Linked DNA regions of Stegostoma tigrinum. The protein of the gene in region 1 interacts with the protein of each later gene in a biochemical or structural test. Links are inferred from orthologs where the notes say so. Each region holds a gene or a part of one and is shown on either strand. Other genes may lie near its edges.

Region 1 (7,847 bases):
GGAACGGGGGGGGATGAGGGGGAACGGGGGGGGATGAGGGGGAACGGGGGGATGAGGGGGGAATATGAGGGGGGGGATGAGGGGGGAATATGAGGGGGGGGATGAGGGGGACCGGGGGTGGATGAGGGGGAACGGCGGGGGGATGAGGGGGAACGGGGGGAGGGGATGAGGGGGAACGGGGGGAGGGGATGAGGGGGAACGGGGGGATGAGGGGGAACGGGGGGAGGGGATGAGGGGGAAGGGGGGAGGGGATGAGGGGGAACGGGGGGGGATGGGGAGGGAACGGGGGGGGATGGGGAGGGAACGGGGAGGGATGGGGAGGGGACGAGGGGGGATGGGGAGGGGACGAGGGGGGATGGGGAGGGGACGAGGGGGGATGGGGAGGGGATGAGGGGGAACGGGGGGGTTGAGGGGGAACGGGGGGAGGGGATGAGAGGGAACGGGGGGGATGAGGGGGAACGGGGGGGGATGAGGGGGAACGGGGGGATGAGGGGGAACGGGGGGGATGACGGGGAACGGGGGGGATGACGGGGAACGGGGGGGATGACGGGGAACGGGGGGGATGAGGGGGGGATGAGGGGGAACGGGGGGGATGAGGCGGAACGGGGGGAGGTGATGAGGGGGAACGGGGGGAGGGGATGAGGGGGAACGGGGGGGGATGAGGGGGAACTGGGGGGGAGATGAGGGGGAACGGGGGGGGATATGAGGGGGAACGGGGGGGGATATGAGGGGGAACGGGGGGGGATATGAGGGGGAACGGGGGGGGATATGAGGGGGAACTGGGGGGGAGATGAGGGGGAACGGGGGGGGAGATGAGGGGGAACGGGGGGGGATGAGGGGGAACGGGGGGGGATGAGGGGGAACGGGGGGGGGATGAGGGGGAACGGGGGGGGAAACGGGGGGGGAAACGGGGGGGGGGAAACGGGGGGGGAAACGGGGGGGGAAACGGGGGGGGGGAAACGGGGGGGGGGGAAACGGGGGGGGGGGAAACGGGGGGGGGGGAAACGGGGGGGGGAGAAACGGGGGGGGGAAACGGGGGGGGGAAACGGGGGGGGAAACGGGGGGGGGGAGAAACGGGGGGGGAAATGGGGGGGGGAACGGGGGGGGGAACAACGGGGGGGGGGAACGGGGGGGGGGAACGGGGAAAACGGGGGGGGGGAACGGGGGGGGAAAACGGGGGGGGGGAAAACGGGGGGGGGAAAACGGGGGGGGGGGGAACGGGGGGGGGGGGAACGGGGGGGGGAGAACACGGGGGGGGGGAACACGGGGGGGGGGAACACGGGGGGGGGAGAACACGGGGGGGGGAGAACACGGGGGGGGGAGAACACGGGGGGGGGGAGAACACGGGGGGGGGAGAACACGGGGGGGGGGAACACGGGGGGGGGGAACACGGGGGGGGGAACACGGGGGGGGGGAACACGGGGGGGGGGAACACGGGGGGGGGGACACGGGGGGGGGGGACACGGGGGGGGGGACACGGGGGGGGGAACACGGGGGGGGGAACACGGGGGGGGGGAACACGGGGGGGGGAACACGGGGGGGGGGAACACGGGGGGGGGGGAACACGGGGGGGGGGGAACACGGGGGGGGGGGAACACGGGGGGGGGGAACACGGGGGGGGGGGGAACACGGGGGGGGGGGAACACGGGGGGGGGGAACACGGGGGGGGGGAACACGGGGGGGGGGAACACGGGGGGGGGAACACGGGGGGGGGGAACGGGGGGGGGAACACGGGGGGGGGGAACACGGGGGGGGGGGAACACGGGGGGGGGGGAACACGGGGGGGGGAACACGGGGGGGGAACGGGGGGGGGACGGGGGGGGGACGGGGGGGGGACGGGGGGGGGACGGGGAGGGGGAACGGGGGGGGTGGATGAGGGGGAACGGGGGGGTGGATGAGGGGGAACGGGGGGGGTGGATGAGGGGGAACGGGGGGGAGATGAGGGGGAACGGGGGGGATGAGGGGGAACGGGGGGGGATGAGGGGGAACGGGGGGGGGATGAGGGGGAACGGGGGGGGGATGAGGGGGAACGGGGGGGGGATGAGGGGGAACGGGGGGGGATGAGGGGGAACGGGGGGGGGGATGAGGGGGAACGGGGGGGGGATGAGGCGGAACGGGGGGGGGATGAGGGGGAACGGGGGGGATGAGGGGGAACGGGGGGGGATGAGGGGGAACGGGGGGGGATGAGGGGGAACGGGGGGGGGATGAGGGGGAACGGGGGGGGGATGAGGGGGAACGGGGGGGGGATGAGGGGGAACGGGGGGGGGAACGTGGGGGGGGGAAGGGGGGGAACGTGGGGGGGGGGGAAGGGGGGGAACGTGGGGGGGGGGAAGGGGGGGAACGTGGGGGGGGGGGGAAGGGGGGGAACGTGGGGGGGGGGGGAAGGGGGGGAACGTGGGGGGGGGGGAAGGGGGGGGGAGGGTGTGCAGGTGAGAGTTGGGGCAGAGGAGGGCGGGTAAAGTGACATGATGTTTAATTCTCAGCTGTTTGCTCCCGACCCCTGAAGCTTCTTTCCACAGCCCAGCCCTGGCCTGGCCCGGCCCCGGGGCGCCTCCCGTGCCCTTCAACGAGACACTGGCCCTGGACACAGGCTTTGAAACCTCCTACAACAGCCGGCACCCCCGCCGCGGCCTCTCCGCTCAGGCCCAGCCCGAGAGCAACCCGAAGGCGCCGAGTCACCGTTAAACTGACACCGGGGGCCGACAGGCCGCATCCTCCCCCTCCCCGGCAGGGCCAGGACGGCCTGGGGCCCAGGCAGACAGCCGGCTACCCGTTCACAAAAACGCCGACCGTGTCCCGCACCGAGCTCCTCACCGTCCGAGCCCGGCCTCCAACTGATCGTCTTCGCTGAATCCACGGCGGCCGCTCGGCTCCGGGGCTGGGCTGTTCCCAGCGGCGTCTCTCTCAGTCTCAGTGTGAGTGTGTGCGGCAACCGCGGCTCCCGGACTGACACACACGGAGAGAGAGAGAGAGCGACCCCTGTCCGCCTGGCAATCCGGCTCACACTCACTCACAAACACTCAATCCGGATCACACTCACTCACACACACTCAATCCGGATCACACTCACTCACACACACTCAATCCGGCTCACACTCACTCACAAACACTCAATCCGGATCACACTCACTCACACACACTCAATCCGGATCACACTCACTCACAAACACTCAATCCGGCTCACACTCACTCACAAACACTCAATCCGGATCACACTCACTCACACACACTCAATCCGGCTCACACTCACTCACAAACACTCAATCCGGATCACACTCACTCACACACACTCAATCCGGCTCACACTCACTCACAAACACTCAATCCGGATCACACTCACTCACACACACTCAATCCGGATCACACACACACACACACTCAATCCGGCTCACACTCACACTCAATCCGGATCACACTCACTCACTCATTCACACACTCAATCCGGATCAGACTCACTCACTCATTCACACACTCAATCCGGATCGCACTCATTTACTCAATCTGGATCACACTCACTCAATCCGGATCACACTCACTCACTCACACACTCAACACGGATCACACTCACTCACTCAATCCGGATCACACTCACTCAATCCGGATTGCAGTCACTCACTCACTCAATCCGGATCATACTCACACTCAATCCGGTTCACACTCACTCACTCACTCACACACTCAATCCGGATCACACTCACTCAATCCGGATTGCAGTCACTCACTCACTCAATCCGGATCACACTCACTCAGTCAATCCGGATCACACTCACACTCAATCCGGTTCACACTCACTCACTCACTCACACACTCAATCCGGCTCACACTCACACACACTCAATCCGGATCACACTCACTCACTCAATCCGGATCTCACACACACTCAATCCGGATCACACTCACTCACTCATTCACACACTCAATCCGGATCTCTCTCACTCACTCACTCAATCCGGATCGCACTCACTCAGTCATTCACTCACTCAATCCGGATCGCACTCACTCAGTCATTCACACACTCAATCCAGATCACACGCACTCACTCATTCTCACACTCAATCCGGATCACACTCACTCACTCACACACTCAATCGCAATCAAACTCACACGCTCAATCCCAATCAAACTCACACACTCAATCCAGATCACACTCACTCACTCAAACACTCAATCTGGATCACACTCACTCACTCATTCACACACTCAATCCCGATCACACTCACACTCACTCAATCAATCAATCCAGATCACATTCACTCAATCACACTCAATCCAGATCACACTCACTCACTCACTCAATCCGGATTACACTCACTCACTCAAACACTCAATCCGGATCACACGCACTGACACACTCAATCCGGATCACACTCACTCACTCATTCACACACTCAGTCCCGATCACACTCACTCACACACGCAATCTGGATCACTCTCACAAACTCACACACTCAATCCGGATCACACTCACTCACTCACACACTCAATCCGGATCACGCACACTCAATCTGGATCCGGATCACATTCACTCACTCATTCACACCCTCAATCCCGATCACACTCACTCACACACTCAATCCGGATCGCACTCACTCAATTTGGATCACACTCACTCAAACACTCAATCCGGATCACACTCACTCACACACTCAATCTCAATCAAACTCACTCACTCAATCCGGATCACACTCACTCACTCACTCAATCCGGATCGCACTCACTCAGTCACTCAATCTGGATCACACTCACTCACTCACTCAAACACTCAATCCGGATCACACTCACTTACTCACTCAATCCGGATCACACTCACTCACACACTCAATCCAGATCTCACTCACTCACTCACACACTCAATCCCAATCAAACTCACTCACTCAATCCAGATCACACTCACTCACACACTCAATCCAGATCACACTCACTCACTCACTCACACACTCAATCCCAATCAAACTCACTCACTCAATCCGGATCACACTCACTCACACACTCAATCCGGATCACACTCACTCACTCACACGCTCAATCCAGATCACACTCACTCACTCACTCACACACTCAATCCCAATCAAACTCACTCACTCAATCCGGATCACACTCACTCACACACTCAATCCGGATCACACTCACTCACTCACACACTCAATCTCAATCAAACTCACTCACCAACTCACTCACTCACACACTCAATCCGGATCACACTCACTCACACACCCAATCCGGATCACACTCACTCACTCACTCACAGACTCAATCTCAATCAAACTCAATCCGGATCACGCACACTCAATCTGGATCCGGATCACATTCACTCACTCATTCACACCCTCAATCCCGATCACACTCACTCACACACTCAATCCGGATCGCACTCACTCAATTTGGATCACACTCACTCAAACACTCAATCCGGATCACACTCACTCACACACTCAATCTCAATCAAACTCACTCACTCAATCCGGATCACACTCACTCACTCACTCAATCCGGATCGCACTCACTCAGTCACTCAATCTGGATCACACTCACTCACTCACTCAAACACTCAATCCGGATCACACTCACTTACTCACTCAATCCGGATCACACTCACTCACACACTCAATCCAGATCTCACTCACTCACTCACACACTCAATCCCAATCAAACTCACTCACTCAATCCAGATCACACTCACTCACACACTCAATCCAGATCACACTCACTCACTCACTCACACACTCAATCCCAATCAAACTCACTCACTCAATCCGGATCACACTCACTCACACACTCAATCCGGATCACACTCACTCACTCACACGCACAATCCAGATCACACTCACTCACTCACTCACACACTCAATCCCAATCAAACTCACTCACTCAATCCGGATCACACTCACTCACACACTCAATCCGGATCACACTCACTCACTCACACACTCAATCTCAATCAAACTCACTCACCAACTCACTCACTCACACACTCAATCCGGATCACACTCACTCACACACCCAATCCGGATCACACTCACTCACTCACTCACAGACTCAATCTCAATCAAACTCACTCACCAACTCACTCACTCACACGCCCAATCCAGATCACGACATGCTCAATCTGGATCACACTCACTCACACACTCAATCCGGATCACACTAACTCACTCACTCAATCCGGATCACACTCACACTCAATCTGGTTCTCACTCACTCACTCACTCAATCTGGATCACACTCATTCACACACTCAATCCAGATCACACTCACTCACTCACACACACTGAATCCGGATCACACTCACTCACTCACTCACACGCTCAATCCGGATCACACTCACTCACACACCCAATCCGGATCACACTCACTCACTCACTCACTCACACACTCAATCTCAATCAAACTCACTCACTCAATCCGGATCACACTCACTCACTCACTCACACACTCAATCCGGATCACACTCACTCACACACCCAATCCGGATCACACTCACTCACTCACTCACACACTCAATCTCAATCAAACTCACTCACTCAATCCGGATCACACTCACTCACTCACTCACACACTCAATCCAGATCAGACTCACTCACACACTCAATCCCGATCACACTCACTCACTCACACGCTCAATCCAGATCACACTGACTCACTCACTCAATCTGGATCACACTCACTCACACACTCAATCCAGATCACACTCACTCACTCACTCACACACTCAATCCCAATGAAACTCACTCACTCAATCCGAATCACACTCACTCACACGCTCAATCCAGATCACACTCACTCACTCACACGTTCAATCTGGATCACACTCACTCACTCACACACACTCAATCCCAATCAAACTCACTCACTCAATCAGGATCACACTCACTCACACGCTCAATCCGGATCACACTCACTCAAACACTCAATTTGGATCACACTCACTCACACACTCAATCCAAATCAACCTCACTCACTCAATCCGGATCACACTCACTCACTCACATGCTCAATCCAGCTCACACTCACACACTCAATCCGGATCACACTCACGCACTCATTCACACACTCAATCCCGATCTCTCTCTCTCACTCACTCACTCACTCACTCACCCACCCACACACTCACTCAGTCCGGATCACACTCACTCACTCATTCACACCCTCAATCCTGATCACACTCACTCACACACTCAATCCGGATCGCACTCACTCACACACTCAATCCAGATCGCACTCACTCACTCAAATACTCAATCCGGATCACACTCACTCACTCAATCCGGATCACACTCACACTCAATCCGGATCACACTCACTCACACACTCAATCCGGATCACACTCACTCACTCACACACTCAATCCCAATCAAACTCACTCACTCAATCCGGATCACACTCACTCACACACTCAATCCGGATCACACTCACTCACACACTCAATCCCAATCAAACTCACTCACTCAATCTGGATCACACTCACTCACTCACTCAATCCGGATCGCACTCACTCAATCCGGATCACACTCACTCACTCACTCAAACACTCAATCCGGATCTCACTCACTCACTCAATCCGGATCACACTCACTCACACACTCAACCCCAATCAAACTCACTCACTCAATCCGGATCACACTCACTCACTCACTCTCACACTCAATCCAGATCTCACTCACTCAAACACTCGATCTGGATCACACTCACTCACTCAATCCGGATCACACTGACTCACACACTCAATCCCAATCAAACTCACTCACTCAATCCGGATCACACTCACTCACTCACTCACACGCCCAATCCAGATCACACTCACTCACTCACATGCTCAATCCGGATCACACTCACTCATACACTCAATC
Region 2 (6,990 bases), on another chromosome or scaffold:
GCCAGTCAGCCTTTCATGACTTCCACACTCAATGAGATCATGACAGACCTTACCATTTAAGAAATGTTCTATACTTAGTTTACTTACACTAATGTGGATAACCAAATTTTACCAACATATATCCAGATATTCCATCTGCCATGTTCTTGCCTAATCACCAAGTCTGTCCACATCCTCCCAAAACACTTGATATCATTATCAGTCCAAAGATGCGCAGGCTAGGTGGATTGGCCATGTTAAATTGCCCGTTGTGTACATGGGTGTGTGTGTGTGTTATAGGGGGATGGGTCTGGGTGGGACGCTGCAAAGGGTGGTGTGGAGTTGTTGGGCTGAAGGGCCTGTTTCCACACTGTAGGGAATCTAATTAATCACAGCACAGCTTTGTAGTTATTTTCATCCACCCTGGTTGGATATGATATGACATACCTTCAAGGCAGGTGGGATTTGAACCAGGATCTCTGGCCTGAAGGCAACACAGATCCCTCCACTTAGCTTTGTATCATCTGCAAATATGTCATTCTGGACCCCACATCCGAATTGCCTATATATTGCAAACAGCTGGGGCCCAAATTCTGACCCACTGATATCCTTCTAGAAACAGCCTACCAACACGAGAATAATCTGTTCATTTCTAGGTCTGTTTCCAACCTGTTGGCTCAATCTTCATCTATGCCCACACATAACCTCCTATTCTGAGATAATGGGAACTGCAGATGCTGGAGAATTCCAAGATAATAAAATGTGAGGCTGGATGAACACAGCAGGCCAAGCAGCATCTCAGGAGCACAAAAGCTGACGTTTCGGGCCTAGACCCTTCATCAGAGAGGGGGATGGGGAGAGGGAACTGGAATAAATAGGGAGAGAGGGGGAGGCGGACCGAAGATGGAGAGTAAAGAAGATAGGTGGAGAGAGTATAGGTGGGGAGGTAGGGAGGGGATAGGTCAGTCCAGGGAAGACGGACAGGTCAAGGAGGTGGGATGAGGTTAGTAGGTAGATGGGGGTGCGGCTTGGGGTGGGAGGAAGGGATGGGTGAGAGGAAGAACCGGTTAGGGAGGCAGAGACAGGTTGGACTGGTTTTGGGATGCAGTGGGTGGGGGGAAGAGCTGGGCTGGTGGTGTGGTGCAGTGGGGGGAGGGGACGAATTGGGCTGGTTTAGGGATGCAGTAGGGGAAGGGGAGATTTTGAAACTGGTGAAGTCCACATTGATACCATATGGCTGCAGGGTTCCCAGGCGGAATATGAGTTGCTGTTCCTGCAACCTTCAGGTGGCATCATTGTGGCAGTGCAGGAGGCCCATGAAGGACCGCAACTTTCCCCCCACAGTGATCGAGAACGCCCTTGACCGCGTCTCCCGTATTTCCCGCAACACATCCCTCACACCCCGCCCCCGCCACAACCGCCCTAAGAGGATCCCCCTCGTTCTCACACACCACCCTACCAACCTCCGGATACAACGCATCATCCTCCGACACTTCCGCCATCTACAATCCGACCCCACCACCCAAGACATTTTTCCATCCCCACCCCTGTCTGCTTTCCGGAGAGACCACTCTCTCCGTGACTCCCTTGTTCGTTCCACACTGCCCTCCAACCCCACCACACCCGGCACCTTCCCCTGCAACCGCAGGAAATGCGACACTTGCCCCCTCACCCCTATCCCAGGCCCCAAGATGACATTCCACATTAAGCAGAGGTTCACCTGCACATCTGCCAATGTGGTATACTGCATCCACTGTACCCAGTGCGGCTTCCTCTACATTAGGGAAACCAAGCGGAGGCTTGGGGACCGCTTTGCAGAACACCTCCGCTCAGTTCGCAACAAACAACTGCACCTCCCAGTCGCAAACCATTTCCACTCCCGCTCCCATTCTCTAGATGACATGTCCATCATGGGCCTCCTGCAGTGCCACAATGATGCCACCCGAAGGTTGCAGGAACAGCAACTCATATTCCGCCTGGGAACCCTGCAGCCATATGGTATCAATGTGGACTTCACCAGTTTCAAAATCTTCCCTTCCCCTACTGCATCCCTAAACCAGCCCAGTTCGTCCCCTCCCCCCACTGCACCACACAACCAGCCCAGCTCTTCCCCCCCACCCACTGCATCCCAAAACCAATCCAACCTGTCTCTGCCTCCCTAACCGTTCTTCCTCTCACCCATCTCTTCCTCCCACCCCAAGCCGCACCCCCGTCCACCTAATAACCTCATCCCACCTCCTTGACCTGTCTGTCTTCCCTGGACTGACCTATCCCCTCCCTACCTCCCCACCTATACTCTCTCCACCTATCTTTACTCTCCATCTTCGGTCCGCCTCCCTCTCTCCCTATTTATTACAGTTCCCTCTCTCCATCCCCCTCTCTGATGAAGGATCTAGGCCCGAAACGTCAGCTTTTGTGCTCCTGAGATGCTGCTTGGCCTGCTGTGTTCATCCAGCCTCACATTTTATTAACCTCCCATTCTCGTGTGTTTTGAATTTGCTGAAGGTCCTGCAGGGGACGCTATAAAACCTGAAAATTTCAGTTTGTTACATCCGTTCACTTTCCATAATCAATTTTGTGACTAACAGCCCCCTGACCTCCAAGTTGCAAATTCGTAATGATTGTGCCCTACATTTTTGTCCATTCATCTATTGATCATATTCTTTATAATTCACTTCCCCTACTACTCGTGAGAGCTATTAAGTCTGCAGTCGCCTGTTTTCTTTCTCACTTCCTTATTTATTAGTGGTACGACGTACGTAGCTTCCAACCTTTAGGAATCACTCCTTAGAATTTAGAAGCTGATGACCAACGACGCACTGTCCCGATAGCAAACACAACAAATGCTGGAGATTACAGCGGCTCAGACAGCATCGATGCAGAAAGAGTCGGCTGAACATTTCGAGTTTAGATGACTCTTCATCACAGCTGAAGCTCGAAACGTTAGCTTTCTTTCCTTTCGTGGATGTCGTCTGACCCGCTGTGATCTCCAGCTTTTTTTTGTAGCATCTGCAGTAATTTGTTTCCTTCATTATCTTGATAGCCACGTCTTTAAACTGTGTGGGATTTAAACTATCAGGTCCTTGAAGGCCAACTTTCAGCTCCACTTTTTCTCCAGTAGAACTTTTTTTATTAATACTAATTTGCTGGATTCGATCTCTGGTTCGGGGAAATAGCTTGCACCATCCTCGGTGAAAACAAACACAAACTCATCTACCATTTCTCTTATTCCTCATTATGACTTCTAGTGACTGCCAGTAAAGGACCTACATTCGCCTTAGCCAAACCTAGCCATGATAAAGTGTGACTGACAGACGTATAATTTCTTCGTCTTTCTTCCTTACAGTGGGCACTGGAAGCGAGAAATCTTCAACGGGAGTGAGGAGTTTGCAAATCGATTGAACTCGTTCAAGCGTGGGGAGAATTAAGACAAGTCATGTAAGAAAGCGGGGTGATTACTGGGGAACGGAATTTGGCAGATTATCGCTGAGTCAGTGTAAATCTAAATGCAGATTTATTGAATAAAAATGTAACCATAGCCACGACCTCAACGGCACAATCCAGATCAAGTGGTTCACCTCTCCCCTCCCCCAATAACCGGTACAACAGGCCACGGACCGGTACTCTGATTGGTCCAGGATCCCTCTGTTGCTAGGATGGGGACTCATTCCTATTATTTACTGCAACGACGAGGTGGCGACTTCATTAGAAAACAGTATAAGTTAGCCGGGGGAGGGGGGGGCGGGGGATAAATAACGCCAGGACACCATTCAACATCCCTCATCATAGGAGTATGTGTTTCAATTTGCTTTAAACGTGTACATCGCAACGAATGGGTGATAAATAACCTGTACCGACAGCTACCGTTCTCCCCGAGGCTGAAGGCGGAGCCAAGCCGTGCCGAACCACACCACCGGTCCCGCCCATCCGTGGCGGCCCCTGTGATTGACATTCCAGTAGCCAGAGGAACGCTGCCCTGAGAGTTACGCGAGGTGGGCGGGCTGGGGAGCCAATCGCAGAGAGGCGCAGGCGGGACTTCCGTTGTTACTGGCTGGCTTCACCGGCACGAGCGGGAGCGGTTGTCCGGCGCGTTCTGAACCATCCTCGCCCTGAAAATGCACGCGGATGCAGTCAGTAAGTATCGAGGATCCGCCGCTCTAACTACTGCTGTCCCCCATGGTGCATACATATTTCACATGGCTATGCCATTTCCTTTGTCAGCACTACAGGGTTCATTTGTTTTTGTCTGCGTTTAGTGCAAGGTATTCTGTTTCACCTGCGTCTCTTTAATGGAGATGATTCGTGTGTCACAGAAGAGAGGTGACGCAGTTTTCTTTCCAGAGTGTCTCATATTAATGCCCTGACTAACCTGATCGCATTCTTTTTCTCCTTGTCCGATTCATGGTCGAAAGTGGATATCAGCAGAATGATATGGTGGCGGCATTGGGCAAGGAAGGGGATTATTATTCTCTTTCTCTACTCCCCCTCCCCCCGATGCAGAAGCTTTGTCAACTCTGCTGAGAAGCTGTCTGGAGTTGTATTTATTTCAGGATGTTGGGGAGGGTACGAGAATGTGGGACGCGTATATCAACGCGCAGGCGCAACGTTCGTGACGTTTTCTGGGAATTGTAGTTCTATGACGACTAATTATGTGATGACACACCTAGTGGCGTCACAAGGGAACTGCAATCCCCAGACTGCTTTATGCGGTGTAACCTAGGGAAGCGTTTACCTGGGGGCTCAGCTCCTTGGCCACTCTGGCAGATTGGTCTCAATGCAGTACTCTCTATCTAGGTTTTTTTTCCATCTTTGGCCATCCGCAGTGTCCGTTATTTAAATAAATATATTTTTCTTTGCGTATTAGTTCTACTTTAAATGGGGTTTACCTTTTTGTTGAACGGGCATTATTTTAACTACATTGTCCACCTTGGCAAATTCACCCAGTTCTGTGGCTATGCAAGATATGGTGATGATTCTGCATTCTGGTCAGTTGATTTCTACTGTAGTTAACAAAATTCCTTCAGTTTTGTTTAATTGTAGAAACCTTAGCATGAATATCATGTCTGCTTGGAGTTGATCTAGATGGCTTAACCAGCTTTCACAACTACGAGCTAATGCTGTGTTTTGCTACTTGTTAGAATTGCGTGTTTACCTGTACTAAGAATAAAAGGCAACTTTTTTTTGTTAAAACTGGAAGGTATGACACTTATGAATAAAGTCATGGCATGATTTTGATTTATTGTCATGTCTGTTTACTTACAAAATATGGTAAAAATTGTGGTATAATGTTGCCACTCTCCAGTGTCATCTTAAAATACAAATAAACCAAAATTAAAGAATTTTAAGGCAGAAAAATGAAGAAATAAAGAATAAAGAAATTGCTGACTTCTCATCTGTGGCCCAGTGTCATAGAACCCCCTGAATGAAGATGTATTAACTTCTGTCCTGATTTCCAGTTGTGGAAGTTTATTGTTCATTGTACTAGACAAGTATTGTCTTTTGCGTGCATTCAGTTTCAATCCACATTTTGAAAGTTGAAATTTGGTCTGTTAAGTTGAGGATATAAACCAAAGTTGCATTTTACATTAATTACAACTATGATAGACCAGTTTTGTAGTACAGTAGTTTTTATTTGAACTTGTGGAACAGGATGAAGAGAACCCAATACTTAACAGTATTCAATATAAGTTGTATTTGCACACTTTTGTTACATCCAAATGTAAGTGGATACTTTTATGTTTCGGTATAAGCCAAGTTTTTAGAACTAGAGTATAAAATGTCCGAAGCAATCACAGCTGGATTCTCAGGCTGTTGGAGTTCAAGAAGTTCAGACATCTAAGTGTGAAAATCTAACACATGAGATAGAGGGGGATGTTCTGAGATATGCAGTACTGAATGTGAAAGAACTGGGAAGTACAGGATAGTTAGAGCTGAGAGTTTAGAACCAAGTGTAGATAAGTGACCTCACAGCAAGCGGTACTAAGGTACTGTTCATCAATTATTTGCATTTTAAGACAATTTGTACTTTTAATCTGCACATAGTGATATAATAATGGAAATTTAAATGTCAATATGCAGAACTTAAAATGATTTGTAAATAAAGAGGAAAATTCACTAGTTTTGATGTAAATTAATGCTTAATAATTTGGCTTTAAATATCTCACCTATGTAATAAACATGACATATTTGACTTGCTCTTTAAAAGTGACCAGTGTTTAAAAGTTTCCTTTTGAGGACAATGGTAATGTAACAATATTGTTCATCTTTTTTTAAAGTTCTGGGTAAAATACTCCGAATTAAATCATTTGCAGTTCATTTGAGATAATGATGAAATCAGTGAATTATAATGCAATAAACTGATTAAGGGGCCTTAATGATCTCCTGAACTTGAATAAAGCCTAACTGAAGACTGAAAGCAGCCAAATTCACTGACAGGTATTTGTTCTTGCACAGCAGTGAAATTTGTGATTTATCATCCTCATTGTTTGTCACTGCTTCCTTAGCAAGGTAACCACTTTTAAATAATGAAACTGTAGAAAAGTGCACCACTCTTTGTGGATTATTTGAACCTCTCTACAATCTGTATTTACTACACTAATATATTAAATGGTCCTTTAGTTTGCAGAATTATTTTTGAAGATTTTGTACCTCCTCTGTCAAAGCTGTTCCAATGATCATATCAATACTGAGTATAACACAATAACATAAGGTTTTTGAAATTTGCTAAATTGTTTCCTAGTTAATATTTGTTTTTATATCTTTCTAGAAAAAAATCATTGGTGTTATATTATGGAAGCTGGTATTAATTATAATTGTGCATTAATTTGCAAATCTGACAAAATCCAGAGATTATTTTTGTTTCTGTAGATTAATTGTTAGGATTGATTGCTGTAACAACTTTATTGTTGTATCATGCGATTACCGAGATGGTGAAACATAAACTAGAAGGGTCTTGGCCCTTTTTACATGTACCAGTTCCTATGACTGTTCCACTGAAACTCTGATTTTAGA
Region 3 (7,822 bases), on another chromosome or scaffold:
CCTTCAATTGAAACACTAACAGTTAAATGCTATTTTGAGTCACAAAAGTGCTATTTATTTATTGTTATGACAGGTTTGTTTTTTAAATGATGCAGCTAACACAGAAATGGAGAACATTATTAGGAGATAAGAATTGTTAAACTACTTGCTGTTGTAATTTGGCACACAGGTCTAGACAGGAATGGGTTCTAGAATCTACAAAGGAAGGTTAAGAATCAGAAAGGTGGTTTGGGGCAGAATCAGAACTGCAAATAAAACATGGTGGAAATACATGCATTGACATACACCACATGAGAATTTTGACAATTTTAAGTTGAATTTTGCAGTGCAGTGGTAGTGTCCCTATTGCTAGGTCAGAAGATCTGGATTCCAGTTCCCTAATTTCCAAAAGTGAAGACTCTGTGGATGAAGTGTGCAAATGGGATTGGTAAGCAGGCCATTTTTTGCTTTTCTGGAGCCTTTTTGTACTCAGAAAAGGGGAGCCGCTGAGTCAATGGGGTGGTTGTATATACCAGCAATATCACAAATAAAAGGACAGAAACTCTCAGCCAACATTGGAAAAAAAATCATCAATTTCCTGGAATTTCAATGCTTGTGTTTTAATTGGTGTCAAATAAGCGTTTATGGTCAATTAATCTAGGCATGTGTTTGTCTTGCGAACAATGGCTTGGCAGGAAGTGGGGTGTTTCTGTGAATATTTTAAAAAGGGGTGGAAGTCTGGAAGTCATCTGGAATTCCAGGAATTGTCAGTAAACACACGCTACTGGAGCAATTGGAAGCAGCCTAGTTTTAGGAGCAATTACACAGATAACTTGGATAAACTGCAGAATTGGGCTGAAACGTGGCAAATGGATTTTAATACGGATAAATGTGAGGTGATTCACTTTAGGAGGAATAATAAGGTGGCAGAATACCAGGTCAATGGAAAGATTCTTGGTAGTGTGGATGTGCAGAGGGATCTTGGTGTCCATGTACATAGATCCCTGAAAGTTGCCACCCAGGTTGATAGTGCTGTTAAGGCGGCTTACGGTGATTGAGTTCCGGAGCCATGATGTCATGCTGCAACTGTACAAAATGCTAGTGCGACCTCATTTGGAATACTGCGTGCAGTTCTGGTCACCCCATTACAGGAAGGATGTGGAAGCATCGGAAAAGGTGCAGAGGAGATTCACCAGGATGTTGTCTGGTCTAGAGCGAAGGCCCTATGAAGAAAGGCTGAGGGACTTGGGTCTGTTCTCGTTGGAGAGAAGGAGGCTAAGAGGGGATTTTATAGAGACATACAAGACGATCAGAGGATTAGATAGGGTGGACAGTGAGAGTCTTTTTCGAGGATGATGACTTCAGCTTGTACAAGAGGACTTGGCTACAAATTGAGGGGTGATAGATTTAAGACAGATGTCAGTGGCAGGTTCTTTACTCAGAGTGGTAAGGGTGTGGAATGCCCTGCCTGCCAATGTAGTTAACTCAGCCACATTAGGGGCATTTAAACAGTCCTTGGATAAGCATATGGATAATGATGGGATAGTGTAGGGGGATTAGATCAGTTCACAGGTCGGCACAACATCGAGGGCCGAAGGGCCTGTTCGGCGCTGTATTGTTCTGTGTTCTATAACTCACAACAAGAAGTTGAGGTGGTGGATTAAAGTTTATTTTTAGTCCATTGCACTTGTCAGAAGCTCAAGCAAAATGGGGTTTTGGCCTCCGGTGAACCACCAATTCCAATCAGATTTCCAGAGTCAGCTTGCTGGCTTGATGGCGTCTAATTTCCTCCTGATCGTGGGCTTCAGTTAAGTGCTGGGTGGAGGAAAGAGGACTAGCCTTGTACAGCAAGTGTCTACATTAGTGTTGCAAAACTGGAGATGAATGCTACTGGATTATTTCACCGAATGGTGACATTTAAATTCTGAGTAGTACACTAAGGACTGTGCCCTGAGTATGAAACATGACTATACTGGTCAGGAGAAGCATTTAAGAGTTACCAAAACATGGAAGGTTAAGCTGCATCATGCTAATTATTGGATTTCACACGTAACAAATAATATCCAGCTGCACAATAAAAACTATGATTTTGAAAAATCCATGCTGACTGTATATCAGCAGACACTGCCTGTGCATAAACCCAAAGTCACTGCAACTCTACCGTCCATATACTCAGTCAAATATCTACTAACCAGTATACTCACTGACTTACCTCTCTACCTACCACTAGACAAAATTTGCTTTTTTATCATAGGGTTCAAATCTCTCCTTTATATCATTGTAATTTCCTCCAGCCTGAAAGTTTGCATGCCTCAAAGTTCCTTTGCCCCACTGTTCTCAGCCATGACTTCAATGGTCCATGCTGCAGCTCTGGAATTTCCAAACTTCTCTCTGTCTCCCCTCCTTGAATATGGCCATAAGACCATAAGACACAGGAATGGAAGTAAGGCCATTTGGCCCGTCAAGTCCACTCCGCCATTAAAATCATGGCTGATGGGCATTTCAACTCCACTTCCCTGCACTCTCCCCATAGCCCTTGATTCGTTCTGAGATCAAGAATTTGTTGATTTCTGCCTTGAAGGCATCCAACTTCCCGGCCTCCACTGCACTCCGTGGCAATGAATTCCACATGCCCACCACTCTCTGGCTGAAGAAATGCCGTCTCAGTTCAGTTTTAAATTTACCCCCTCTAATTTTAAGGCTGTGCCCACAGGTCCTAGTTTCCCCGCCTAACAGAAACAACTTCCTAGCGTCCACCCCTTCTAGACCATACATTATCTTGTAAATTTCTATTAGATCTCCCCATAACCTTGTAAACTCTAATGAGTACAATCCCAGGATCCTTAGCCGTTCATCATACGTTAAACCTACCATTCCAGGGATCTAGCCCTTAGTATCTACCTCGATTATTTGACACTTGTCAGTATTTACCTGATTAAACTGCCGTGAAGCCAAGGTTATAGGCAGTACAGGATACAAATGCAAGTCACTGAATTAAGCTATTAGAGAGCAACGTTGAAGGTGCCAGCTCAAATTGTCAAGATTTTTGTCACTCTTGAAAGTCAAGTAATTATACTATCATTTATTTGTGCAGCAACACAAGCAAATAAAACCATTACATTAGCACTTTATCAAATCAGGGGATACTGGAAATCTGTTATATGAAGAATGGTGTGGTCCAGTTGTGTGTAAGTTCGGTACTGGCTATGATTTCACATGAACTTTATCATAGCCTTATAGGCTCTCGGTGAGAATGTTTATTGTGCGTTGAAGTTCCTGTAGGCTACATTCTTATAGCTTGCAATTTCTAACTTTAGATAAAGCAACAGTTCTTTTTAAGAAAAATGGAAACTTGACTGTTATCCACAAGGGCTAGTTTAATTCTTAAATTTTAGCTGTTTGGTACAAATTAAGAAAAAATTGAGTAAAGTTTGGAACTAAAAGTTTAAAAAAATGAGTAAATCAAGGCAAAACAAAGATGTATGACTAAACATTTTGCCTTGCAATCGTCCGAAGAGGGGCTAGATGCTGAATTTCAAATGGAAGAACAATTTATATTACAGGTGACTTCTTATTACACATCAATGAAAAACGCAAGAAAGCAGGGCTGGTATTAACCATCTAATAGAAATATCGATAGCCCAAAGATGTGCAGGTTAGGCAGATTAGCCAAGCTAAATTGCCTATAGTGTTCAGGGATGCACTGATTAGGTCCGTCAGCCATGGAAAATACAGGGATTGGGTATGGGTCTGGGTGGAATGCTCTTCGGAGGATCAGTATGGACTCTCTGGGCCGAATAGCCTGTTTCCACACTGCAGGGATTATATTTGAGAAGTTTCATTCAGCAATCGGGGAGTATCTCCCCACGGCCTCAGTTTAAAAGCCGACAGCTGTGTTTATAAATTCATGACTGATGCAGAAAGGAAAAAAAAAGGCAAAACGCTCGAGTGAACGGCTCGTTTCTTCTCTTCCCCAGCCCTTACCAAACACCCACACAAACTACCCAGCCACAAGGCGAGGGAGAAGGGGACGGCCTCACCTTCTCAAGATGAAGCATCCGGCCGCAGTTCACTCTCCAAATATTCAACCGCCCGTCACACCGACCATTCGTCCATCACGACAGCGCGTTGTCTTTCTGATTTGTGAATTTTTAAATAAGAGAAGATAAAATAAAGACGTGAAGTAGTTAAACTGCTGTCAGGTGACCTCACGTTGGATGGAGCCAGGGCCACCCGCCCTAAATTAAAATAAAACTACTATTTTCTGTTTTGCGTTCGGTCGTTACCGGAGAACAGGGATGGATAAAGAAGCGGAATATACCGAACTTTAGAGAGAGCGCACAGGCGGCGGTGTCAACACCGATTCACGGGAGAGGGGTACCGAGGAGACACCGCCAATCTGACATCCCAACGGAAAACCGCGCGCGCCCCAGCACTGCGCATGCGTACCACTCACCAGGCCACGAGCGGCAAGCACGCGCGTCTTCTTCCCTTTGCCCTCCTCCCCGCTCAACCCAATCCCAAAGCCAGGGCGCGATGCCGCGTCTGACCGCGAACGCGCGCAACTCCGTCCGATTCACGCAAACACGCCATGCGCGCCCGCCAATCCAGGTTCACGCCCGCCCGCGGAGTTGCGCACGCGCATTTCCCTCATCGCCGCCGGGCAGCTGATGGAAATGCGCATGCGCACTTCCACCGGAACGTAGGCTCATATCCACACAGAGCTCCGATCCGTTCCAAAGCCTTCTGCGCACGCGCATCACCTCCTCCTCTTCCCCGCCCCTCCGCGCGGCGGTGTGGCCTCGTGTCATCAGCGTCATGGCGTCACTGTTGTCTGACCGCAAGGTTTGATGAGGTAATGCGCAGACGGAAAGCTGGCTGCCCGGCGCAGTAGGAAGTGATGAGGGGAAGTTTCTGTCTCCTCAAATTATCAGCGGAACGGTGGCCGTTTCTCCGTCCGTGCCTTTCGCGAAAAGCTGAACGTTAGTGTCCATCCGGGGTGACTATGGCTTTGAAAAGGTCGGGTTGCCCGGCCGTGATGATGTCGTGAGAAGGCCTGGCGCCTTTCCTGCCTTTCCTCTCTCCGAGGCCAAGGGAAGCCCGTCGTTGTTTCAGTGCCTTCGCGCAGACCTCTGACTCCTCACCCTGAATTAATACTCAAAAACTCCTCAGCCGTCTGCTTTTTAAACTCGCTCTCCCGGAAAACAGGACGATGGCTTGATCACGTTTCATGTTATTTGTAAGTTTCTGTTTTTCGACATCGACCTGGGTTGTAGCACAAACGGAGTGGGGTAACGGCGGTTGGGCTTTTTGTTTTGGTGAGGCAATTGATTCAAGTCTGAATCAAAGAAATATCTCCCTCACACGTGGCACTTTCTACCTTATCTGAGTCTGTGTGATGGATAACTTTCCTTCTGTTTTGGGTGTTGAAATCTGGGTTGCCTGCTAAAACGAGTGATGGCCTAATTTCCTTTTTAAATCCATGGAATGAAATGTTCCTTTCAATGGAAAAAATAAATGTTGGTGATAAAGTGTATAAATGGTGTGCTTCCAAGCGATGATTCTTCAATGATAACGTAGAGGCAGAATGGCTTCAAGATAGATTGTTGACAGGTTGATCTTCGTAACAGTAATCAATTGCAGGCATCAACAATGGTCCTGCACGCAAGCACTGTGTTCTAAAATGAAGATGCAGTTTGAATGGGGGAGGGGTGGCGATGGAGCATTGCCGAGCAGTTTGTTTTTCACTTGTCTATTGCCCTAGTTCAACCTTTCCTACAGATGAGAATTTCCCTCTCCTGGGATTGCCCTGTCATTGGAATTACAGGCCTTTTGCGAGTACTATGTCACTACTAGAGTTAGCTTTCAGATTAATTCATTACAGAATAGTGACAATCTGCTTTCAGGTTCTCGTGTTATGCACGCATGTGGACATTGCAGAAACCTGTTTACTTCTAAAAGCAAAACATTTTCTATAATCTTTCACAACCTTGGAATACCCCAGAGCATTTTTATAGTCAACATGTTATTTTCAAAGTCATTTTTTGAAATGCAGCAGCCAATTTGCACATAGCAAGGTTCCACAACAAGAATGTGTTAGTGACTAGATAATTAGTTGTAGGAATGTTCTTAGAGGGATAGATACTATTCTGAACACCAGGTTAGATTTCAACTTCTTAGCCATAGAGATTTTACAACATGGAAAGAGGACTGTTGTTTCTACACCAGCCATCAAATATGGATCTATTTTAATCCCATTTTCCAGCATTTAGCCTGTGGCCTAGTATAGAATCGAGTTTCAACTGTTCAGCTATATAGCTTTTTAAATTACTTGAGGCTTCTCTAACGTCCTATTAGACATTCTGTTCTAAATGCCCACAACCCTCTAGGTGAAAAGGAAATCCTCAAACCCACTCTAACCTTCCTGCTCCTAACCTTAAAACTGCCCCCTTGTTATTTACCCCTCAATTAAGGGGAAAAGTGTCTACCCATCTGTGCCCCTCAGAATTTTGTACACTTTGATCAGATCCCTTCCCTCAGCCTTCTCTCCTTTTAAGGAGGACAACTCCAGCCTGTCGGTCTGCGCATTGCTGAGTTGTTCCAGCCCAGGCATATTTAGATTTCTAAAAGGATTCAATAAGATGTCACAAAAAGGGCTGCACAAGGTATAAGCTCTTGATGTGCTGAATTTCTCTGCTTTCTAATTGTTTTTTCAAATCTCCAATTTCTGCAGTACTTCACATTTATTATAAATGCTCTTGAGATTGGACTAGTGTAGTAGAATTAGTGAAAGTTGATATAAAGGGCAAAAAATGGAGTAGCAATAAATAGATTTAAAGAAAACCCGTAAGAACTGTGGTTGCTGGAAATCGGAAACAAAAACAGAAATCACTGGAAAAACTCAGCAGGTCTGGCAGGTCTCTATGGAGAGAAAGCAGAGTCAAAGTTTTGAGTCCAGTGACCCTTCTTCAGAAGTAATTAGCTAGGAAAAGGTTAGCCTGTATGCTGAAGATAGGATTGGGGAGGAGTAAATGATAAGTGGAGATGGAGTGAGGGACCATTAGCTGACACTGAGTTGGTCGCGGTAGCAGGCTAAATGATGACGAGGCTTTGGTGTATGGGGTTTGGGGTAAGGACATGGGAAAAGGTGCTTAATTATTGAACTCTTGATTCCTGAAGGTTAGAGTTAGGTCTCAGGTTGGCAAGCAATAACTAGAAAAGTCCTGAATTTCGGAGATACCATTATTTACCATTAATTGTCAACAGTTTGGTTGAAGGGTCCGAGTGTAACCTCATTGGTTTTGTAGATAAGGAACTAGGTGAGAAAGTAAGCTGGGAAGAGGATGTAATCTGCAAAGACATTTTATATTTTTAACTGAGTTGGAAGGGGTTGCAATGTAATGATAGGAAATAAGGTTATTCACTTCAGTAGGAAGAGTATAAAATCAATAGTTTTCAATTAGAACAATCAATACTTGATATTCAGAGGAATGTGGGTGTGCTTATATAACTAATACAGAAAATTAACATACAGGTAAAGCAAGAAATTAGATTAAATTCCCTACAGTGTAAAACAGGCCCTTCGGCCCAACAAGTCCACACCACCCCTTATACCATCCCACCCAAACGCATCCCCCTATAATCCACACACCCCTGAACACTATGGGCAATTTAGCATTGCCAATCCACCTAGCCTGCACATCTTTGGACTGTGGACGGAAACCGGAGCACCTGGAGGAAGCCCATGCAGACATTGGGAGTACGTGCAAACTCTGCACAGAGAGTCACCCGAGGCTGGAATCGAACCTGGGTCCCTGGTGCTGTGAGGCTGTTTTTGGCATGG
Region 4 (6,893 bases), on another chromosome or scaffold:
GTGCCCTATTCCCCCCAACAAATCACCTTTTTATTAAATTTTAATAGAGATAGAAAAAAGGACACCATTGTGAATAGATTTCATTCCTTCTTTCACCATCAGGAAAATACCCATGTAGCCAGTTGCATATTAACAAGCAAAGCCTGTTAAAGGCTATACTGAAATCAAAAAAGTGATGGGCGGGTGTTTAGGGACTGAAGGAGGGGGACATAAAGCACTCTATCTCCCACAGTGCCTAAAGTATTCAAGACCAATGATGCACTGTTATGGACCAGGCCAGATCACCTCAAAATATTTTAAGAAAGGATTCTAGAACCTAACTTTTTATTATTTTAAAGATAGATATGAAAAGCCATGTTCCAGTTGCGATATAACTGGTCAAACTATACGTTGTTAAGCCAACTACAATTGATTTAAACACTATTGTTAAAATAAAAACAAAAGAAAGAGTTAATCAAATAAATTAACTGTTGGAAAACTTTGCTAAATAATAGATACAGTAACTGGTACAAGTTAACTGTTCCAATATAGTGACATCCCAAAGACACACAACTTAGCAAAAAGGCAAATGCAGGCACGGATTCTCACATAAAATTCTCCACTCCCAGAGTTAAAATCATCAAGAGAAAATACAGAGATAGCAGCAGCCAGGAAACATTCACTGAAGTTCCCAACTCTATTGAGACCCCAAGAGCTTCCGATATTATTGAGAAAAAACCATAAATCTGGATCTGAGGGAACTGGCCATAGCCAGTCAGCCTGTCAAAAAAAAACACAACACCTCATAAATTGCTTACAGAAGTCATCTTCAGTAGCCAGCCTGCACCTCTACTTTACAATCTCTCATCAAAAAGAGAAAAGAACTTTTAAACTGACAGCATTGTCACATAGACATCCAATTTTCTGTTTTTCTAAATTTAACCTATTTTTCTAAATCAACCTGTTCCGAGATGTTACGACACAGATCTGGAGCAGGTGGGACTTGAACCCAGGCCTCATGGTTCAGGACTAAGGACTCTACCTCTTTTAGCACATTGTACCATATAATCACCACCTGTTCTTTGCTAAAGCAAAATCAATTTAATTTCCTATGCCAATCACTACAATATTGGCTCATTTTTCTCTTAAGATTCTTTTCTCCATTGACTTCCTTTATCAGAACAGTTCATGCTCAAACAATTCTGCATTTAAGTTTTTATTTTAACTCATTTCTCCTCAGTTTGAGAATTTTAAATCAATAGCCACTTGTCATTGGAGTTGTCAGGGGAAAAATATATTCCCTATTCAACTTAGCAAAACATAATGATTTAAATAATTCCTATTAAATCTTCCCATAAGCCTCTTTGTTCCTCTAGTCTGGAAATATTGTCATTATCTCACCTTTCTCACCCCCAGCATCACAGCAGTAAATTTAGAATATACACATATTCTACAATGATGAACTTAGATTATATAATTTCATTTGCATGTTTATGATAATTAGAATTCGACTAGCTTATTCTATATAACTTTATCTACCTCCAATTACATTCTCGGGTCCTTATACATCTAATCAGGTTGGACTCTATAGCCCTTTACAAGTTATCAGCTAGAATAAGTATTTATGCCTAACAAGAGTCATAGTGTCAGAGATGAAGAGCATGGAAACAGAGCCTTCAGTCCAACTCATCCACGCCAACTAGATATCCTAAATTAATCTATTCCTATTTGCCAGAATTTGGGCCATATCTGTCTAAACCCTTCCTGTTCATAAACCCATCCAGATGCCTTTTAAATGGTGTAACCGTAAATGTTGTAACCGTACCAGCCTCTACTACTTCCTTTGGCAGCTCATTCCAAACATACACCTCCCTCTCCATGTAGAAGTTGTCCCTTCAGTCCCTTTTCAATTATTCCCCTTTCACCTTAAAACTATGCCCTCTCATTTTGGACTCCCCTACCCTGGAGAAAAGGCCTTGTCTATTCACCCTATCCATGCTCCTCATGGTTTTATAAACTACGATAAAGGTTACCCTTCAGCCTCTAACCCTCCGAGGAAAATAGCCTCAGCCCAAATCCTCCAACCCTGGCAACATCCTTATAAATGTTTTCTGAACCCCTTCAAATTTCATAACATCCCTCCTGTAGCAATGAGACCAGACTTGAACACAGTTTTTTCAAAAGTAGCGTAACCAATGTCCTGCACAGCTGCAATATGCCATCCCAACTCCTACATTCAATGCACTGATCAATAAAAGTAAACATACCAAACACCCTAAATAAAAACCAAAAGAACTGTGGATGTTCTAAGTTAGGAACAAAATCAAAAGGTGCTGGAAAAGCTGAGCAAGTCTGGCAGCATCTGCATAGGAAAAAATCAGAGCTAACATTTCAGGTCCAGTCACTGGACCCGAAATGGAAGGTCACCAGACCCGAAACGTTAACTCTGATTTTTTTTTCTTCTGATGCTGCCAGACCTGCTCAGCTTTTCCTGCACCTTTGGTTTTTATACCGAACATCCACTTCACTATTCTGTCTAACTTCAACTCCACTTTCAAGGAACTATGAACCTGCACTCCAAGATCTCTTTTTCAGCAATGCTCTCCAGGACCTTACCACACGCTTAAGTCTCCTCAAACTTGTCCATTTTCATCCCTCATAAGAATGAGATGCTTCTGATACTTCAGACAAGTATTTATAATGACAGCAAGGTGGGAAGTGGGGGCACGAGATTTATAAAGAGATGGCAAAAAAATGCCTTCTGCTCAATCTCACCTTTGTTCTCGAAACTGTTGGTGGCTGTGAACTGTCACTTTTCTTATTCACTTTCTACTGAATAGCTATTTGCTTAAATTACGCCGAAGAGCCATCCAGCATCATATAGAAATCCCAGCAATCGGCCACAGGGCAAGTTTTCTCCCTGACGATTTCTATAGAAATGGAATGTGTGTCTGGGAGAAAGTCACATTAGTGATCAGTCAATTTCAACGATGTCCGGCCCTGGCCATCAGCTCCCAGAAACAACGGCCTTCGGTCACCAGGAACACTGCCGCGTTATCATGACTGTAGCTCACCGAATGTAGTGGACCTCCTCCCCTCTCCGGCCTGGTCTTGCCCGCTGGTCCGAGCCGGGCCGGGCCACCCACAGTCAGCACCTCCCGCGTTGTTGGCAACGCCGAGCGTCCCCGGTAACCCGACACGGCAACAGCCAGCCTTCCGGAAATGACGTACGCTGGAGGGGCGGCGAGTCGTCGCAACAAAAACCGCACAGGGTCTTCAAGAGCCCTCCTCCTGCCGGGAGAGGAGAAGCTGCAGTCGACTGCGGGGCGGTGCCTGCCCCTTTAAAGGAGGACTCAAGCCGTGAGAGTGACAGCCGCGTTCTCCACCCCCCCCCCCACACGTCCCTAAAAGCCCGGCAGGCCAGTCCACGCGAGTACACAAAAAGAACATCAATGGAAGGAGGGGGTTCAAAAATCATCACATTGTGTCGGCGACTAATCTCACAAATGTGCATTGCTTATTATAGAGACAATATTTAAGGCAAGGAGTGTTTGCGCGTTAAAAAGGAAATGCGGGGATTTGAACTTTAATGGAACAGTCTCAGCTGCAGGATCTCCCTCCGTCGGGTGGACGATCTGACCGCTCCATCTCTGCGAGCAATTTGGAGGGGGGATCTTTTAATACGGTGATTTATTGCTGTGTAGCAAAACAACTTTGGCTAAGAATTATTCCGTCACGTAAATTATTTCAAGGTGCACTGTACTTTATAAGTTTCACAAAGTCCGATCTTTTGCACTTTTGTCTCTGACATGGCTGATTCACTTTCCCTTCCCCCCACCCACGGCCAATCCAGCCACTACCCCAGCCATTCCCAGGACGCGGTATCTTGCTGACCCTTGACCCCGGTCGTCATTTAGCCCCGGAAGTACTCGCCGTGCCGGTCCCCTGAGCCGGAGAAGCTGAGGCGGCGGCAGTGGAGGAGAGCAGCCGGACGGAGTTGCTCGTACACCGCAGCCCTACAGCGGGAGGTGGGACTGTGCTGGGAATCCGTGTTCCCGTCTCATAAATCACGGCCTGGGGAAGACGGCGAGCGAACCCGGCTCTGCTCACTGCCTCCGAGCCGCCCCGTTGACGCGAGTGCCTGGGGGTAGAGCCAGGGATCCGGCTCCCTGCAGCATGCGCGGTCCTGGTGCTCTGTGAACCCCGGATCGCACGGGGCAGGGTTTGAGTGAAACCTCCCTCCGGGAGCTGATTCCTGGGGGAGGAGGTGGAGCAGTTGCCGGTGGTGGAGGCGGTTGGGGGGGGGGGGGGGTGTGGTGTGAGGGCTGTTTCTTTGTCAGGAGCGGTGAGGTACTGAACCAACCCGAAAATACTTGAAACTGGCCCAGATGAGATGCTGGAGGCGGCGGAGTTTTAACCCAACAGGAAATGGAGGGCTAGAAGATCAGCTCCACGACTAAACACACAGATCGAGAGAGCATATACCAACCCCTCCCCCAATCCCCAAGTCTAACGTCCTGGCGGCGACTCCGTGCGAAGTCTTGGTAACTTTGTTTTGCTTTTGATCGGAGTCCAAGTCATGCACTCAGTCGAGGACGACTAACGTTTTCTTTTGAACAGCTTTCACCGCGGTCGCGATGTGGTGAGGCATTTTTGAAGGGACAGGGCCTGGTGCAGTCCCCGCTCTGGCTGCAGCTCCTGCTGGCACCGGAGAGATTTTCAGGGCCGGTGGCTTCTCTTTTACAAACTGCGCAGTGTCTCCTCATCACCCGAATTGCGTAGAGAGTTAACCGCCTCGGTATTTTTTACAGTTTTCGAGGAAACTCATTTCAAACCTAGTTATCTCAGTTTGGTTTTGCAGGGCCAAATATAAATGTAATCTTCGGAAATCAGGTCTGGGAAAAGGTTGAGAAAAAATTGTTAAATCGCCCAGAATATTTTTGTTTACGTGATTAAATCCACATTTTGGGTCTTGCCATCTCTCTTCGTTATTTACGGTCAATTTGCAGTGCAAATAATGTGTCGGGGAAAAAAGAAGCCGTTCTTGAGTGGTATTTTCATATTTTGAATTGTATATCAGGAAAATGCTTCATGAGTTGTTGTAGCTTGTGCCTGAAGAATATCGACAGAAATATTATTTTGACGCTGTCGTCTTTACCGTTTTCTAGTGGGAGCCTAGCTCATTCTGGCAGACTTCCAACAGATCTCTCGGACGTTCAATCGGCTGGTAAGTATTAAGCTACCCACTTTGGTATTTTTGTTCCTCTTGACTGGGCCATGATTGTGTGAGGTTCTGATGTGAAAAAAGATCTCTTGAAATTGATCGAGCAGACCTTTGACATAACACATGATGCAGTTCTGTTCTCTACTAGCCTCCACACTTTTGATTTGTGCATTTCAGGATGTCGAAAATAAGGAATCTGCTGAATGAGTGATAATAGAAATCTTCTAGTCAGACTGTGCTTTAGAAAACAAATAGTAATGACTGTAGAATGTAATCTTAAATCGAATGTTCCGTCTCTAATTTTTCTTCATCCAGGTGTGGAATGAATTTTATGCAATGCCACTAGAAACACAAATTCAGTCTAACTGATATCTGACTTCAAACATGTTAATATGGTTGACAAGCCATGCACTTGTCAATGACTTGACAGCTTTAGCTGTCTCAAAGTTAAATGGGGGATAGGGTTAAGGTTAGCAATTGAGTATAGGGCTTTAGTGACACCACATCTGGAAGGTTGTGTACAGTTTTTCTCTTCATCTGAGGAAGGGTACTCTTGCAATGAAGGGAATGCAAAGATGGTTTACCAGACTGATTCCTGGGACAGTAAAGTTAAGATGCTAATTTATTGTGTGTGACCCTATCAAAAGCTTCCTGACAGTCCGGGCAAACCATATCTTAGCTTCATGCCAGTACCAACTTGTCCCATAAATAAGAAGTATTTGATTATCATTGGGAGATGCTGAGACAATGAACAATTAAATAAAACAATACAAAACAGGAGTAGGAATAGGCCATTCGGCCCTTCAAGCCTGTTCCACCATTCATTTTTCAGCTTGGCCCCTGCATTAATTGTACACATAGGATGAAGAAGCTTATAGAAACGAGATTAGGTTGATCCAAGCAGCCCCTGATTTGAGTCCCACAACTTTGATTTGACTCATTGCTGGTTAATTACTACGATATTTTCCCAATCCAGTCCTGTGGCACAACCTGTGCACCTGAAGCATCCTTGCTTCTTTAAGCCTAATCTATTACAGTGGCTCTTCAGCTTGTCTAGCTCCTTGCTTTCAGCCTTCTCGATAAGGGGCATAAAAAGTTAGAGGACAGAAGCAGATCCCTTGGTCCAACTTGTCCATGCTGAACAGACACCCCAATCTGACGTAGTCCCATTTCCCAGCATTTAGCTCATCTCCTTCTAAACACTTCCTATTCATATACCCATCCAGATGCCTTTTAAATGTTGTAATTGTACGTGTCTCCACCACTTCCTCTAGCAGTTCATTCCATATACTCACCACCCTCTGTGACAACGTTGCCGCTCGGATCGTTTTCACCTTCTCACTTTAAACTCATCCCCTCTAGTTTTTGGACTTTCCCACCTTAGGATAAGGACTGTGGCTAGTTACCCTACCCAAGTCGTTCACGCTTTTATAAACCTCTGAGGTCCCCCCTCAGCCTCTGATGCTCCAGGAAAAATAAAGCCCCAGCCTATTCAACCTCTTCCTATAACTGAAACTCTCCAGTCACTACAACATTCTTTTAAATCCCTTCTGCACCCATTCCAGTTTAACAAATTATTTCCTATAGAAGGCAGGTGTGTCAAATGCCTTCTTGACCACTGTGTCTCGCTGTGACTCCACTTTCAAGGAGTTATGCACACCTGCAGCTTTAGGTCTCTGTTTGGCAACAT

The links.
Region 2: of the proteins of cul2 (region 1) and dcun1d4, one has a biochemical effect on the other in vitro, tested with the Homo sapiens proteins (2 studies listed by BioGRID, with this or other methods). The link is inferred for Stegostoma tigrinum from reciprocal best matches to the Homo sapiens genes CUL2 and DCUN1D4.
Region 3: of the proteins of cul2 (region 1) and dcun1d3, one has a biochemical effect on the other in vitro, tested with the Homo sapiens proteins (2 studies listed by BioGRID, with this or other methods). The link is inferred for Stegostoma tigrinum from reciprocal best matches to the Homo sapiens genes CUL2 and DCUN1D3.
Region 4: of the proteins of cul2 (region 1) and dcun1d5, one has a biochemical effect on the other in vitro, tested with the Homo sapiens proteins (2 studies listed by BioGRID, with this or other methods). The link is inferred for Stegostoma tigrinum from reciprocal best matches to the Homo sapiens genes CUL2 and DCUN1D5.

The regions. Positions count from the first base shown.
Region 1 is NC_081355.1:130,397,813-130,405,659, forward strand, and holds the start of cul2 (cullin-2), read right to left. Parts: upstream 3,017-7,847; 5' UTR 2,815-3,016; intron 1-2,814.
Region 2 is NC_081354.1:106,281,287-106,288,276, forward strand, and holds the start of dcun1d4 (DCN1-like protein 4), read left to right. Parts: upstream 1-3,984; 5' UTR 3,985-4,094; coding exon 4,095-4,113; intron 4,114-6,990. UniProt on the Homo sapiens protein: Contributes to the neddylation of all cullins by transferring NEDD8 from N-terminally acetylated NEDD8-conjugating E2s enzyme to different cullin C-terminal domain-RBX complexes which are necessary for the activation of cullin-RING E3 ubiquitin ligases (CRLs).
Region 3 is NC_081376.1:49,316,799-49,324,620, forward strand, and holds the start of dcun1d3 (DCN1-like protein 3), read left to right. Parts: upstream 1-4,805; 5' UTR 4,806-5,218; intron 5,219-7,822. Other genes in the region: lyrm1 (LYR motif containing protein 1), read right to left, coding at 4,020-4,037. UniProt on the Homo sapiens protein: Contributes to the neddylation of all cullins by transferring NEDD8 from N-terminally acetylated NEDD8-conjugating E2s enzyme to different cullin C-terminal domain-RBX complexes and may play a role in the cell cycle progression by regulating the SCF ubiquitin E3 ligase complex, after UV damage.
Region 4 is NC_081359.1:67,007,181-67,014,073, reverse strand, and holds the start of dcun1d5 (DCN1-like protein 5), read left to right. Parts: upstream 1-3,893; 5' UTR 3,894-4,007; intron 4,008-4,300; exon of another isoform or gene 4,301-4,523; intron 4,524-5,147; 5' UTR 5,148-5,206; intron 5,207-6,893. UniProt on the Homo sapiens protein: Contributes to the neddylation of all cullins by transferring NEDD8 from N-terminally acetylated NEDD8-conjugating E2s enzyme to different cullin C-terminal domain-RBX complexes which is necessary for the activation of cullin-RING E3 ubiquitin ligases (CRLs).